Oryctolagus cuniculus: one gene and its partners. Each later gene encodes a partner of the first gene's protein in a complex. Links are inferred from orthologs where the notes say so. Each region holds a gene or a part of one and is shown on either strand. Other genes may lie near its edges.

Evidence for each region.
Region 2: POLD2 (region 1) and POLD4 share a complex: the UniProt entries of both Homo sapiens proteins name them as parts of the tetrameric DNA polymerase delta complex. The link is inferred for Oryctolagus cuniculus from reciprocal best matches to the Homo sapiens genes POLD2 and POLD4.
Region 3: POLD2 (region 1) and POLD3 share a complex: the UniProt entries of both Homo sapiens proteins name them as parts of the both the DNA polymerase delta and DNA polymerase zeta complex. The link is inferred for Oryctolagus cuniculus from reciprocal best matches to the Homo sapiens genes POLD2 and POLD3.
Region 4: POLD2 (region 1) and REV3L share a complex: the UniProt entries of both Homo sapiens proteins name them as parts of the tetrameric Pol-zeta complex. The link is inferred for Oryctolagus cuniculus from reciprocal best matches to the Homo sapiens genes POLD2 and REV3L.

What each region holds. Positions count from the first base shown.
Region 1 is NC_091447.1:51,601,048-51,605,089, reverse strand, and holds the start of POLD2 (DNA polymerase delta subunit 2), read left to right. Parts: upstream 1-1,219; 5' UTR 1,220-1,545; intron 1,546-1,849; exon of another isoform or gene 1,850-1,918; intron 1,919-2,035; 5' UTR 2,036-2,061; coding exon 2,062-2,281; intron 2,282-4,042. Other genes in the region: Friend virus susceptibility protein 1, read right to left, coding at 1-149. UniProt on the Homo sapiens protein: Accessory component of both the DNA polymerase delta complex and the DNA polymerase zeta complex.
Region 2 is NC_091432.1:4,679,974-4,683,366, forward strand, and holds POLD4 (DNA polymerase delta subunit 4), read left to right. Parts: upstream 1-1,375; 5' UTR 1,376-1,592; coding exon 1,593-1,689; intron 1,690-1,879; coding exon 1,880-1,969; intron 1,970-2,126; coding exon 2,127-2,238; intron 2,239-2,475; coding exon 2,476-2,500; 3' UTR 2,501-2,878; downstream 2,879-3,393. UniProt on the Homo sapiens protein: As a component of the tetrameric DNA polymerase delta complex (Pol-delta4), plays a role in high fidelity genome replication and repair.
Region 3 is NC_091432.1:65,786,946-65,790,977, forward strand, and holds the start of POLD3 (DNA polymerase delta subunit 3), read left to right. Parts: upstream 1-1,204; 5' UTR 1,205-1,377; coding exon 1,378-1,437; intron 1,438-1,847; exon of another isoform or gene 1,848-2,370; intron 2,371-2,706; coding exon 2,707-2,762; intron 2,763-4,032. UniProt on the Homo sapiens protein: Accessory component of both the DNA polymerase delta complex and the DNA polymerase zeta complex.
Region 4 is NC_091436.1:60,221,785-60,225,346, forward strand, and holds part of REV3L (DNA polymerase zeta catalytic subunit), read left to right. Parts: coding exon 1-2,515; intron 2,516-3,562. UniProt on the Homo sapiens protein: Catalytic subunit of the DNA polymerase zeta complex, an error-prone polymerase specialized in translesion DNA synthesis (TLS). Lacks an intrinsic 3'-5' exonuclease activity and thus has no proofreading function.

The DNA of each region.
Region 1 (4,042 bases):
GCGTTTATCCTGCACATCTCTAAGAATAGCTCCCGCCACGGATTGCAGGTGCTGTCCGCACCGTCGGAAGGAGAATCCTTTGCGTCTTTAGGTCTAACCATATTACACAGCCAATTCCAGAAGCCCCAAAGCCAATGAAGGAAACCCATCTTAGAATTCGGAACCACTCCTGAGACCCAAGTCGGTGCTGCAGTTCCGGGGAGAGAGAGAGAGAGAGAGAGCGCGAGCGAGCAAGACCCCGCGGGAAATGTATAAGGTATCTGACAGGAGAGCGGTCAGCGGCGGGCGGCGTGGCTCACGTGGCACAGGTCCACTGCAACGTGGGGCGCCGGCAGCGTGGCTCCCAGTCTGAAGGCCTCCGAGCCCGGAAGGTAACGGCGTCACTCTTAGCCCACGGCTGACGGCCAGGGGAGCGCGGACCGTGCTGGAGCCCAGGGTCAGCGCGGCTGCAGTTCCGACGCCCAGCGCGTGTCTCGGGCCTGCTGGGGTAGAAGGAGAGAGATCAACCCGTCTCGTGTTTATTTCCTCTCGGCCTGCCCCGCCTGGCCGTCCACTGGGCATCGCAAGACAGCCCCTCTGCAAACACCCTCACAGACCCCCGCAACGCAAGGCCTCTGCGCACTCCTTAAGCGAGCCAGGCTGGCACCTAAGTCAGCCACCACAAGGACACGACAAGAGTCCACCGTGTCTGGGGCCGGGCCTGGCGGGAGGAGCGGGAAGGCAAGGACCCGCCACGCCTCTCGCCCAACTCGCTGCCCGCCCTACAGAGCAACCGCCCTCTTCCAGGTCCACGTTACCCTCACTTGGGCTCAGGTCACCGTTCTGCAGAGACAGCCGGAAATCAAGCGCTTGGCCAGCAGGACCAGCCTGCGGGGAACCCGGGCAGTGCCCACCCTGCACGGTGCAGGCCACCCGCGCGGACCCAGCCTCCTGGGTTCCGGGCACGCGCATGCGCACGGACGAGCATGGGCCTGTCCGTCCCGGCCCCGCCTCCCGTCGCCTGGGAAACCGGGGGCGTGGCTCCGCGCGGCGCGGTGAGTGAGAAGCGCGGGGGCCGGCGGGATGCAGCGGGCGCTGTGGGGCCGACCCGGGCGGAGACCGATTGGTGAGATGCGGCCGCGGACGGGGAGCGCTGGATGGCGATTGGCGGAGTGAGGCAATGAATGGGGCGGGGCTGGCGGCGATTGGCTGGCTACGGCGATGGGCGGGGCGGGCGCGCGGGGGTCGGCGGGATGCGGCGCGCCGCTTGGTGAGGGTTTTCCGGTGAAGCGGTGTCTTGGCGGGCCGCGGGTGCGAGCTCGAGAGTCGGGGACGTCCCGCCGCTGCCGCGCAGCGCTGCTCTCGGGGGCCGGCCGCGGGTGCTCGGGGGTCGCTCCTGGAAAGCCCGCGTCCCGGCCCCGCGCTGTCCAGCGGGCCGCGGGGCCCTGACCCGTCGCGGAGCCGCGCCCAGGCGGTGAGTAGCCGGTGTCCAGAGGCGCTGCTCGCTCCGGGGAGTCGGCCTGTGGCGCTCCGCGGGCGCCAGGTGTCCGTGCGGGTTGCTGGGAGGTGCGTGCCGAGCCAGAGGGCCGAGGTGTGGTTCGGGGTGGGCAGCGGGAGGTGCCCGCGAGCGCGGACCGGGGCGAGCGCGCGCGGGCGCGGGCGCAGGTGCAGCGAGAGGATCCGGAGGCGGGGAGCGCGTGGCACGGGCCGTGGTGAGGCCTGGGCGCTCGGCGCGGCCCGTGGCCGGTGTGTGTCACCGTGGCGATGGTGGTTATTTAGCAATAGCGCGTGCTTCTGGGGTGGGCTCGCGCCCTGGGCTGGGGCAGGTGCAGGGGGCTGGGGAGGCGCGGGTCAGGGATTCCGTTCGCGAGCCTGGCAGGCGGCCTGGGGGTGTGAAGCCGGCAGGGGTCACTCGGGTCCGGGGTTCAGCCGCACTCCGGTGGGAGAGGCTCCCTTGCTCCCTGCCGGGACTGTCCGGTCTGGCCCCCGGAGGCGGTGCGGGCAGCCGCGTTTGGCACCGGGCGAGGGTGGCAGGGATGCCTTTGTGTGCCCACAGGACCCCTCCTCGGCCGGGACGCAGCCATGTTTTCCGAGCAGGCCGCCCAGCGTGCCCACACGCTGCTGTCCCCTCCGTCCGCCAACAACGCCACCTTCGCCCGGGTGCCCGTGGCCACCTACACCAACGCGTCGCAGCCTTTCCGCCTGGGCGAGCGCAACTTCAACCGGCAGTACGCGCACATTTACGCCACGCGCCTCAGCCAGATGAGACCCTTCCTGGTGAGCCGGGCCCGGCAGCGCTGGGGTGAGTGTGGGCGCGCGCGGCTCCAGGTTTCCCCGATCGGTCCCATTTGTGAGTTACCTGGGAACGCTAGCCCGTCCCTCGCGGCGTCCTCACGTAACCAGGACTGGTGTAAGACCTGTGGTGTGAGGTGGAGGCCAGAGGCTGCTCCCAGGTCAGGGTGGAGCACTGAGAGCCGTTGTTGCGGTGGGGGGAATGGTTTAGGTGCAGGGCACTCCACCGTTCGCCCATGCCCGAGCGCGGCTGGCCTGGCACCGGAGCCACCGGCGGCGGGGCCCCTCCGTTTCTGCTTCCTGCCGCCCAGCGGCCGTGACTCCCCTGACCCTCAGCATTCTGTCTTTCCAAATAAAGACCCGGGCTGTGCAAGCTGTTTTCTCGTCCCCGTCTCTTCCCCGGTGGGCTCTCCTACCCCTCGATGCCCTGGGGGTGAGACAGGACCCGGCCTCTCACTCCCGACTCTGGTGGTGCCCCGTTACCCCAGCTGTGGGACTGGCACACGGCCGCTGTTCCTGATGCATCTCCGAGACGGTCATCATGAGACCGTGTCTTACCCAGGCCGGGTGGGTCTTGGGCCAGCCTGCCCCAGGGTCAGTCTGCCCCTGGCCCGCGCCCTCCCTGGGGTCAGTCTCCCCCAACACAGTATCTCCCCCTGGCCCACCCCGGGGTCAGTCTGCCCCTGGCCCGCGCCCTCTCTGGGGTCCGTCTGCCCTGGCCTGGCCTGTGCCCTCTCTGTGGTCGGTCTGCCCTGGCCTGTGCCCTCTCCGGGGTTGGTCTGCCCTGGCCTGTGCCCTCCCTGGAGTCGGTCTGCCCTGGCCTGTGCCCTCCCTGGGGTCAGTCTGCCCTGACCCACGCCCTCTCTGGGGTCGGTCTGCCCTGGCCTGTGCCCTCCCTGGGGTCAGTCTGCCCTGGTCCGCCCCCTCTCTGGGGTCGGTCTGCCCTGGCCTGTGCCCTCCCTGGGGTCAGTCTGCCCTGGCCCGCGCCCTCTCTGGGGTCGGTCTGCCCTGGCCTGTGCCCTCCCTGGGGTCAGTCTGCCCTGGCCCGCCCCCTCTCTGGGGTCGGTCTGCCCTGGCCTGTGCCCTCCCTGGGGTCAGTCTGCCCTGGTCCGCCCCCTCTCTGGGGTCGGTCTGCCCTGGCCTGTGCCCTCCCTGGGGTCAGTCTGCCCTGGTCCGCCCCCTCTCTGGGGTCGGTCTGCCCTGGCCTGTGCCCTCCCTGGGGTCAGTCTGCCCTGGCCCGCGCCCTCTTTCAGGGGTCAGTCTGCCCTGGCCTGTGCCTTCCTTGGGGTCTGTCTGCCCCTGGCCTGCACCCTCTCAGGGGTCAGTCTGCCCTGGCCTGTGCCCTCCCCGGGGTCACTCTGCCCCTGGCCCGTGCCCTCCCTGGCCTTTGCCCTCCCTGGGGTCAGTCTGCCCCTGGCCTGCACCCTCTCCAGGGTTGGTCTCCCTTTGGCCTGTGCCCTCCCGGGGGTCTGTCTGCCCCTGGCCTGTACCCTCCTTGGGGTCTGTCTGCCCCTGGCCTGTGCCCTCCCGGGGGTCTGTCTGCCCCTGGCCTGCGCCCTCTCTGGCGTCTGTCTGCCCCTGGCCTGCCCTGGGGTTGGTCTGCCCTGGCCTGCGCCCTCTCCAGGGTCAGCCTGCCCTGGCCCATGCCCTCCCCGGAGTCTTGTCTCCTCACCTCGGTTTCCTGTCCTTCTATCACCGTCACCGTGACTCTCTGGGGCCTCCCCGTGTTTTCTGCTCAGCCTTGCACTTCTCACAGTGGTCAGTTGCTGAT
Region 2 (3,393 bases), on another chromosome or scaffold:
AGGAAGATGAAGGGAGAACCGGCAGGAGGCGGCCCCGGAAGACAGGCTAGTCCTCTGCTTCCCCTCTGGGAAGCACTCTCCTCCTGGGTCTCTGTGTGTACCGGGGCCCAGCCCGCTTCCTGACCCGGAGCACCGGGCCCGCGCACTGGGAAAGAGGCCAGCAGAGGCCCCCAGCAGGCGCCAACCCTCACAGCCCTGGAGGGAAGGACCGGATGGGCGCCCCGGCTCGAGGGTGATCAGGGCCGGGCTGTCTCTGTGCTGGTTCCCAGCCTCCCACTGGCCAGCACTTTGCCTGCTGCCAGGAAATTGGTGAGGGGGAGGCGGGAGTAGGGGTGAGTCAGCAGTGACAGGAGCCCAGGGGACAAAGGTCACGGGTGGGGGATTGAGAGCCACTGTGTACCAGAGCCTACCTCCTCCAGGAGGCCTCCTGACACCAACTGCACTGTGGACCCACCCCACGCCTGTCCTCCGTCTTCCAACGGCACCCCCTCTGCCCTGGGGACCTGGGGCGCAGGGAGGGGCTGTGGTCCAACAGGGGTCCCCGCAATGCCAGTCTATCGGCAGGGATAATAATTTATCCATACTGCCTACTTTCAAAAACCCTTGCCATCTGCTTAAACGGAGTTGCTGTGGGGATGGTTAGAGCGGTCCCTGCAACACAGCGCACGCTGCGCTGTGAGCGTTTTCTGCTCCCAGGCACGATGCTGCAAGACGGTGCAGGTCTGGCTGGGAAGAACTGGGGACCCAGAGGCCCCGTGAGAGACCCCAGCTCTGGCCTCAGGCTACCCAGGGGACCTTCCTGACCACTAGGGTGAGCAGAGGCAGGCTTCGGACCCCAGGAGAGCCGACAGGGCCACGCGCGGCCTCCACCAGCAGTGTGGGCAGTGTCTGGGCACAGGCTGTGAGAAAGGAGCTGTCAGAGCCCAAGGCCCCCACCAGCGCTCCTGGGGCGGGTGGGAGCAGGGCAGGGGGCTGGATTAGCCCAAACTCTCTTCGGACCTCCAGACCTGCCCCCACAACGCTCGGGTCCAAGGCCCCGGAGAGGAAGGTTCCAGATGGGCTCTGGGGAGTTACAAACCCGACACGGGGATTAGTGAGGCTGAAAAGAACATTTGCCTAGGAAGGCAAAACGGGAAGTGAGAGGCCCAGGATAACGCTCCGTGCGTCCCCGGGGACCCACGGAGACCAATGGGGGGCGGGAGGAGGTGGTGAAGTCTGGGGCATCTTGACAGGTCCCCACCCCTCCCGAACCCCTCCTCCCCCAGAGCACAGCTGCAGCAGCTGCCCCGCCCCTCGCCCTGCGCCGCGCGCCATTGGCTGGGGCCCGGGCCCCGCCCCACAGCGGCGGCCTGCCATTGGCTTCGGTCTTTGCTATTTGCGTGTTTGTGGGGGCGGGGGGCAGGCGTCATCCCCTGGAACCAGGCGACTTCCTCTCGGGCTTGTCTGGGTCATCTCGTCTGCCCGTCGCTGGCCCCATCTCGCTCTCTGGCCACGACTCTCTCGCGCTCTCCCCTAGCAGCTGTCTCTCTCGCGCCCGCTGGCCTGTCTCTTCGTCCCCGCGGTCACCTTCTCCGCCTGCCTGGGTGGCCACCATGGGCCGGAAGCAGCTCATCACTGACTCCTACCCTGTTGTGAAGCGGGGGGAGGGGCCTGCCGGGCACTGCAAGGGGGAGCTGGCACGAGAGCTAGGTCTCTGAAGCGCGGGGGAGGTCGGAGGAGTGGACAGCAGGGGCCGGAGAGGACGTGGGCGGGGGCAGATGGAAGGGGAAGCGTAGCACGTCCTCTCCTTCCGGCTGACAGGGCTGGCCGCCGGGTGGCAGAGGCAGAGAGCCGCTGAGGAGGGCTGCGGGCACCCGCCTGAGGAGCAGTGTCATTGCAGGGGAGGAGCCCCGGCCCCCCGGCGGGGAGGAAGCCGTGCTGGAGCTGCTGCGGCAGTTTGACCTGGCCTGGCAGTACGGGCCCTGCACAGGTGAGCGCCGCCCTGTCTCCCCGCCTGCCTCGCCTGCCTCTCGGGCGCCTGCGCCCGGCCCTGGGGTCTCAGGACGCGGCGCCTCGGCGCGCATTATCTGGGTGTGCCGGACTCTTCCTGCGCCCCATGAGGCCCGGGTCTCCTGCCTGCCCCTCAGGGATCACCCGTCTGCAGCGCTGGCACCGGGCAGAGCAGATGGGCTTGGAGCCGCCACCAGAGGTGCTCCAGCTGCTGAAGGCCCACCCAGGAGACCCCCGCTTCCAGTACAGGTCAGAGACAGGCTCGGGGCTTTTGGGTACCACCCGATGGGGAGGCTGCCCTGACCGAGGGGGCGTGGATGCAGGTTTGGGGGTTATGTTTTAATAATTCTCTCTCTGAGCTACTGGGGGAAGGGGTGACCCCAGGCCCCCCGGTTCTGTCTGCAGTACTGAGGGTCTGCCCGCATCAGACCGAGGGGCCTCACTGACTGTCTCTCTCTCTCTCTGGCAAATCCCCCGTCTACACAGCCTCTGGCACTTCTACCCCCTCTGAGGCATCAGCTGAGCCCTGCTGCCGCTGGCACTCCCGCCAGCCGCCCGAGAGCCTCAGGACAGAGCCATCGCCACCTGCACCTGCTGCTGCGTAGCTCAGCTCCACTGTGGAGGAGCGCTTGGAGGGCTCCGGTCCTCCATCCAGCCCCCACCCCACCCCCAGGGCGAGCTCCTGCAGGAAGTGCTGTCCGCAGGACGAGGACCTGGCCAGGGCCCTTCCAATGCCTTCCTCAACCAGGCAGAGCCGGACGCAGGCTGGCGACCTCGGAGGCCGGAGTGCACACCCGACCTCAGGCTGGGGAGCGGAGGGCAGGACTGGCTGAGTTCTCAGGGCAAGGGGTTCATGCACACTTATCAATAAAGAACACTGGAATCCTGACCTCCATTCCTTTAACGTGGCCCGGCCTTGGCTGGCAGGCCCCAGCAAGCTCCGAGGTGGGAGACAGCCAGCACCAGGCCTCACCTTTCCTCCCGCTTGAGCGGGAGGGGAGACACCCAGACAGAACCACGGAGCCCGCACTCTGCGCTCTCTGGCGCCCTCTGGTGGTGCACGAGAACTACTCTAGTCATCATCGGGGACCAGCCAGGGAAAACCTGCCTGCGCTACTGCCACCCAGCCAGCCCCATGTTGCCGGAGGAGGGTCCGGGGGCCAGACGGACCTACACGTTCCCACCAAGCACCTCTGCTTCCCTCACCAGGGTCGACCAGGAGCCACCGCAAGGCTGGGGAGGTCTTACCTTGCAGGACCTGCTCAGACATGGCCACCTGGGGCTCTGGAAGGGAACCCACAGTGCTGGGGACAGAGGGAGCTGGCTGGGGACGGGGTAACGCGGAGGAGACCCGGGTCAGGGTGTGACGTGGAGGGTGCAGTGGCTCCCCTCTCTGGCAGTCCT
Region 3 (4,032 bases), on another chromosome or scaffold:
GGGCAAGGAAACTTTAAGCTAAGGGAAGGCAGCTGGGAGACCATGGGAGACTGGGACTTAAATATCTCCAGGAGAGTGTGATGTAATGAGAACGGCCTCCATGTCTTAATGACTGCAGCTGTACCCTCACTACCCTGAACCGTTCCTGGCCCTTGGTAGGCTTTTGCCATCTTACAGATAAGGAACCAGATTCTGAGTGGTTAAACAACTTATAAAACTCAGTACATAAAAAATCAGACTCAAGGGGCCAGGGCTGTGGCATAGTCAGTAAAGCTGCCGCTTGCAGTGCCCGAATCCCACATGGGCATGGCTTCAAGTCCTGACTGCTCCACTATGGATCCATCTCCCTGCTAAGGTGGCTGGGTACAGCGGTGGAAGATGATGAAGATGGCCCAAGTGAAGTGACCCATGTGAGGGACCTGGAAGAAGTTTATGGCTCCTAGCTTCTGGCTTCGGCCTCGCCCAGCCCTGGCTGTTGCAACCACTTGGGAGTGAACCAGTGGATGGAAAACCTCCCCCAATCCCCGCCCCGATTCTGCCTTTCAAATAAAAAATAAAAATTTAAAAAGAAATCCAGATTCAAATCTGGAGTCCTCTAGAGCTTGATTGCTTATTCACTATGCTGGGGACCTTGGCTTATCCTAAATTTTTGGTGATACTATGAGAAATTCTCACGCAATTCCCCAACCTGAAAATTCTCCTTGTCCTCTTTAACTGAGAAGGACGTGCATGCAACCCTACACACAGCCTCCTAAGGCATGGAGTGCTGTGGCCTCGTCAGATCTCCTCTCTCCCTGGCTCCTTCTCCCCCACATTCCCGCTATTCCCGCTATCTGGAGCTTTCTCTTCCCGGCAGCCGCTCCCGCCTCTCTCAGAAACGCCCCGCCTCCTTTACCTGCTTTGAAGAACTTCTAATTCTTTAACTGTGCATTATAACAGGCAAGTATTGTATTCCAGCCGGCCCTACTCAACTTTTATCTTTATCGTCCAAAACTGTGGCCTGCCTGAATAGGTTCCAAATATTTACTGAATAAAATATCGCGAGGCAAGGATTCTTTTATCAATTCACAGATGAAAAGGCTGTGGCTCCTACAGGTGCGGTCACTCAGCGGCGGGGTGAAACCCGACACCTCCTCTCCACACACACCACACACAAACCCGCCCCAACCAATGGCTCTTACTGGCTCCACCCACTTCACCCTGCGCCGTCTCCGTGACTAGTTTGACCCCTGGGCGGCCGCCGTAGCGCGTCGCTTCGGTTGCCGTGGGAAACGACCCGGGACCTGGGAGGGAGTAAAGACGTTTCCCGCCGGCGGGAGCTGCCGCTGTGACTGAGAGGGGGTACCCCGAGCCGGCGGGGCCGATTGCTGTGGCACCATGGCGGACCAGCTGTATCTGGAAAATATAGACGAGTTCGTCACGGACCAGAACAAGATTGTGAGGAGCGAGGGCCTGGGGGAGCAGGCGTGCGACTGGGGTCCTGGGCCGAGCCAGGGCGGTGGGGGCCTGGACCCTCGTGCTTGTGGTCTCGTGGGGGACTGGCCGAGAGGGGGGACAGGTCCCCGTCACCGCGTGCTCCCGGGGCGAGCGAGGACTCGCCGGGGAGGTCTAATGGCGCGCGCGGCAGCGGGCGTTCCTCGGGTAGGCGTGTTGGGGGCTGCCCCGGGGAGAGGCCGCGGGGGTTGAGGGTCTGTCTAAGGCGTCCCTACGCCGGCTTGACCCGGCGGGTGGCGTTTCAAGCCCCAGGTTTGCCTCTGAGGAAAGTGTGCCTCAGCCGTGTTGAGGGACGGTCTGACCTCGGGTTTCCTCTTCCTGGAAATTGGAGTATTGACGGGGGCGTGACCCGCCTGGCGGGGTTGGTGTCCTGATCGGAGGGGAGGGAGGCGAATGCGCCTTGCGAGGCGTGGTAGTGAGCGCCCGCTGGGTGCCGGGGCTCTGTGGCTACGCGCTGTTGCCCGTCATCTTTGCCTCGGCCCTCCCCACCCCCACCCCCGCCCCAGGCAGGGAGTCGTATTCCTTCGGGGAACCCCGAGGCCAAAGAACGAGTTCGGTCGCTCTTAGAGAGGGCGGCGCCGTCTTCGAACCTAGGCCTGGCTCTTCCACGAGTCCTTCGAGCTCGCCCCGGCCTGTGCCTGACCTGCCCAGGTCTTTTGATTATGGCAGCTCGGCCTGTAGCGAGCTTTAGCGAGAGAGTGACAGGCGGACGGGGTGGAGGAGGGCTGCACGCTTGGTGTCAGTGGTTCCCATCTGACCCGCTGCGGTCTTCATCCCGACCCCTGCACCGCCTGTGCCCCTAGTGCTCGTCCCTGTGGCTGCAGCTTTCCTGAGCGATTTCTGCATCATACGCTTGGGAAATCATTTAGCTCCTAGGTGAGTTTTCAGGTAGTTTAGGCCGGTGGTTCCCCCACAAAGGCAGAATCTAAAGAAAGGCCTAAGTGAAACAAGGAGCAAGAGGAAAAGGAGAGCTCTTTCTTTACGTGTATTCGGACTGTCTTTGTATGAAGCAGTCTGGGGGGAAAAAAACACAAACTTTTTGTTAGTGTTTGTAAAGTAGATATCTTTATTCTGCCAGCCCAGGTAGTTCTTGACAAAACTGTGGTGGTATTGATTGCAATTGATAAGGCACAATCACACTCACTTAAGATTACTGATCTAGGCTCTGGGGGCATTTCATAAAACATTCTTGAAAATTGCTTCTTCTTGCAGGTGACGTACAAATGGCTGAGCTATACACTAGGGGTTCATGTTAACCAGGCCAAACAGTAAGTCCAATTTACTACCAATTTTAATCACATAGAGGAGGGTTTTGTTTTGTTTGTTTCTTGTTTTGCTCTTTAGATAGCTCCTAGGATAGAACTAATTTTCTTTTTTTTTCCTGAGTAAATGGAAAAAAACACTTATTTTACTACCTCATATTTTTGTCTCTTTTAGGAGACTGGTAGACTTGATAACAAAGGTGTGGTGTGATCAATTTGCTGGATTCATTTGCATCCTTGGCCTGCTGTGAACATGTTTGTTATTTCAAATTTCTTAAATGAATTAGTTCTTTTTGCATCTAAAATTTATATGTCTGTTATCTTACGTCTTCACCACATTCTCATATGTGGGCCTTAGACCCATCTCCAGATGTTACTGGAGTACTTCATAATGAGGTCAACAGGTGTTCGACGCAAGCTGTGTGACAGGGTGAGCGATTTAAGTGAAACTGGAAAGGGAGTGTTTAGGATGGTGTATGGCCTTGCCTTTCTTCAATTTAGTGCCATGTCACCTTTCCTTGCCTAAATTTGGGATCTAACCCGAGCCCAAAAGAAAAGGTGAGCTTTTGAATTCACTTCCAAGATGTGGATGATGTCTGTGACCCAGGGGAGGAATTAGTGAACTGGCTGAGGATACATATATTGGGTTAAATTCTCATTTTGTTTGTTTGATTCCTAAGGGTGGTCTGAAGTTTCTTCTGGAGTCATAGAAACCTAGAGTCATGAGAACTTCCCACAAGTCTCAGAAAATCCCTGACTTCTAGAATGGGTTGATTTGGTTTTATTGGGTTAAGCACATCTAGGAGTCTAATTTGGGGTGTGATGTTAAAGCTTTCAAAACCCAGAAACTCTTATATAGGGATGGATTTGGATTGATTTTGACTAAAATTGCGTAAGACTAGTTCTGGCCCAAACCCAAGAGCTTCAGTTAACTTTGTCAGTGGATACCTATAAGAGTTATTGTCTGTTACCATTATGGGTATTTAAATAAGAGATGAAGCACCTGTTAACCTGTTGGGGTTTAAGGATGAATAATGACTGGATTCTCTGAAAATGAAATAAAGATGTATGCAATTTTAGTGGAGGTACCCCAATTACTTGTAATTTTTATAGCATTAGCACACTAATTCCTACCTGTGTACCCAACTTTACCTATACCACTCTCTGTCTCAATTGTGATACTCTAGCCATATTTGCTTTGCTTTCCTTCAGTTATGTGAAGTCATTCTCACCACAAGAACCTGTACCTTTCTCTCTGCCTAGATTGCTTTTCTTA
Region 4 (3,562 bases), on another chromosome or scaffold:
TTCTTTCTCCTCCCTCACCATCTTACCATGCTGAAACCGAAGACTGTGACTTGAATTATAGTGATGTTATGTCTAAACTAGGTTTTCTTTCTGAGAGAAGCACAAGTCCCATAAATTCTTCTCCACCTCGCTGCTGGTCTCCCACTGACCCAAGAGCTGAAGAAATCATGGCTGCTGCAGAAAAAGAAGCAACACTTTTTAAGGGTCCTAATGCATACAATAGTAAGACTGTTAATTCTCGTATAGGAAAAAATAGTCGGGCAAGAGCGCAAGCTAAGAAATCAAAGGCAAAGCTTGTTAATCCCTCTATAGTTACTAAGAAAAGGAACAAACGAAATCAGACAAACAAACTGGTAGATAATGGAAAAAAGAAACCAAGAGCAAGACAGAAACAAAAGACAAATGAAAAAGGTACATCAAAAAAGCATATAACACTTAAGGATGAAAAAATAAAATCTCAGTCTGGTGCTGAAGTTAAGTTTGTGCTGAAACACCAGAATGTGGCTGAGCTCACGAACAGTCCTGGAGGCTCTCAACTACTTTTTAAACAGAAAGATGTGTCACTCACAGGCTCTGTTATAGAGCATCCTCTTTCTGTTCCTCTACCAACTGGAATTAATGCACAACAGAAGTTATCTGGCTGCTTTTCTTCTTTTTTAGAAAGCAAAAAATCTGTGGATATGCAAACATTCCCCAGTTCTCGAGATGATCTGCATTCATCAGTTGTATGTAGTTCTGTAGGATCTGGAATCTCAAAAATTAATGCTCAAAGGTCTCATAATCAGAGTGCTATGTTTTCTCTGAAAGAATCAACGTTGATTCAAAAAAATATATTCGACCTTTCCAAACATTTATCTCAGGTAGCACAGAATACACAGATATCTTCAGGTATAATGTCTCCAAAGACAGAAGAGAATGCAAGTATACAAAAAAACTATTTGTCATCTGTTGGAAAGTTAAATGAAAATCGCAGTTCCCTAGAATCAAAGCTGGATCAGGGATGTTCTTCTAATTTTTCACATTGCAAAGACAGTCAGCCGCAGATCGTATGCATGGCAGAACAATCCAAGCACAGTGAATCGTGTACTGTAGGAAATGCAACTTCAGAGGAAAGCCAAATGCCTAATAATTGCTTTGTAACTTCCTTGAGAAGTCCCATCAGACAAATAGCATGGGAGCAGAAACAAAGGGGTTTTATTTTAGATATGACAAATTTTAAGCCTGAAATAGTAAAACAAAGGTCATTTTCAGAAGCAATTTCACAAACCAAAGCACTTTCTCAGTGTAAAAATCAAAATGTGTCAACACCTTCAGCATTTGGCGAAGGACAGTCTGGACTAGCAGTTCTAAAAGAACTGTTACAAAAAAGGCAGCAGAAAGCACAAAATGCAAATATTATGCAAGATCCATTGTCTAACAAACATCAACCAAACAAAAATATTTCTAGTTCCTTTGAACACAATAAAGCAAATAAGCAGACACGATCAGTAACATCTCCAAGAAAACCTCGAACTCCCAGAAGTACAAAACCTAAAGAGAAGAATTCCAAACTTCTAAAAGTAGACTCTTTAAATTTACAAAACTCTAGCCAGTTGGATAATTCCCTCTCAGATGATAGTCCTGTCTTTTTTTCAGATCCGGGTTTTGAGAGTTGTTATTCACTTGAAGATAGCTTGTCTCCTGAACATAGTTATAATTTTGATATTAATACAATTGGTCAGGCAGGGTTTTGTAGCTTTTATTCTGGAAGTCAGTTTGTTCCAGCTGATCAGAATTTGCCTCAGAAGTTTTTAAGTGATGCTGTTCAGGATCTTTTTCCAGGACAAACTATAGAAAAAAATGAGTTTTTAAGTCATGATAACCAAAAGTGTGATGAAAACAAGCATCATTCTTCAGATTCAGCCTCATGGATTAGATCTGGTACTTTAAGTCCTGAGCTTTTCGAAAAGTCATCCATAGATAGCAATGAGAATCTTCGCCACAGCCAGTGGAAAAATAACTTTCATCCCCTAACAGCTCGGTCCAATTCCATAATAGATTCTTTCTGTGTCCAGCAAGCAGAGGACTGTCTAAATGAAAAATCCAGATTGAATAGGAGTTCGGTAAGCAAAGAAGTGTTTCTTAACCTCCCACAGCCAAGCAATTCAGACTGGATTCAAGGTCACACCAGAAAAGAAATGGGACAGTCAATTGACTCAGTTAATACCTCTTTTACTACAATACTCTCCTCTCCCGATGGTGAACTTGTAGATGCAGCTTCTGAAGATTTAGAATTGTATGTTTCAAGAAACAATATGTTGACACCAACTCCTGATAGTTCACCAAGGTCTACCAGCTCTCCCTTACAATCTAAAAATGGCAGTTTCACTCCTCGAACTGCTCACATTCTGAAACCACTTATGTCCCCACCAAGTAGGGAAGAAATTGTGGCAACATTGTTGGATCATGACCTTTCAGAAACTGTTTACCAGGAACCATTCTGCAGTAATCCTTCTGATGTGCCAGAAAAGCCCAGGTAATGAAATTTTTTTTCCCCCTTTGAGTTATTCTGAAGAGTTGTATATTACAAATTTGCTACTTCGTTGCAGGTTTTTTGTCTGTTAATGCTGTATTTGTAAGTATACTATTGTGAAAACTATTCGTAATTATAGACTTACTAAGAAAACACAGCATGGCTTTTGTCCTGCTGGCTAAGATGCCTGTGCCCATGTTGGAGTGCCAGGGTTGGACACCTGGCTCACTCCTGACTCCAGCTTCCTGCTAATTCAAAACCCAGAAGACAGCAATGATGGCTTGTGATTGGGTTCCTGCTTCTAGCTTCAGACCCAGCCAGGGGCCATTGTGGGCATTTGGGGAATAAACCAGCAGATGGAAGGTCTCTCTGTTGTCTCTGTGCCCCTCAAATAAATAAGCATGAATCTAATTTTTTAATTTAAAAAATTCACAAGCTACCCAGACTATTGCATCTAGGGAGATTAACTAACTTTGATAAATATTGAACTTGAATCTACTGCTTAAGAATTAGAGTTATAAAGGCTCACTTTGACATGAGGCAAAGTTAAGAGGATGCCATAAAACTTTTTTCAAAAAATCTTTTTTTAAAGACATAGCAACGGGGGTGGGAGTTGGGGGAGAGATCTTCTATCTGCCCATTCATTCCCCAAATGGTACCAATAGTGAGGTCTGGACCAGGCCAAAGCCAGAATCCAGGAACTCCATCCTGGTTACCCACGTGGGTGGCAGGGGCCCAAGTACTTGGGCAGTATCTTCTGCCTTTCCAGGTGTATTAACATAAAGCTGGATTGTAAGCAGAGTAATCAGGACTTGAACCAGCACTCTGACGTGGGATGCTGGTGTTGAAGATGAGACTATTTAACACACTGCACTACAACACCAGCCTCCTTAATACTTTAAAGGTATTACAATGATCACTTTAAAATAATTTTTAATAAATATTAAGTTTGTATACATTTTGAAAACAATTTAATTTTTAAAAAGTGTTTGAGCATGTAAATGTTTTTATTGCCCTTAAATTTTCAAAATAAGATTATTTCTATTATAA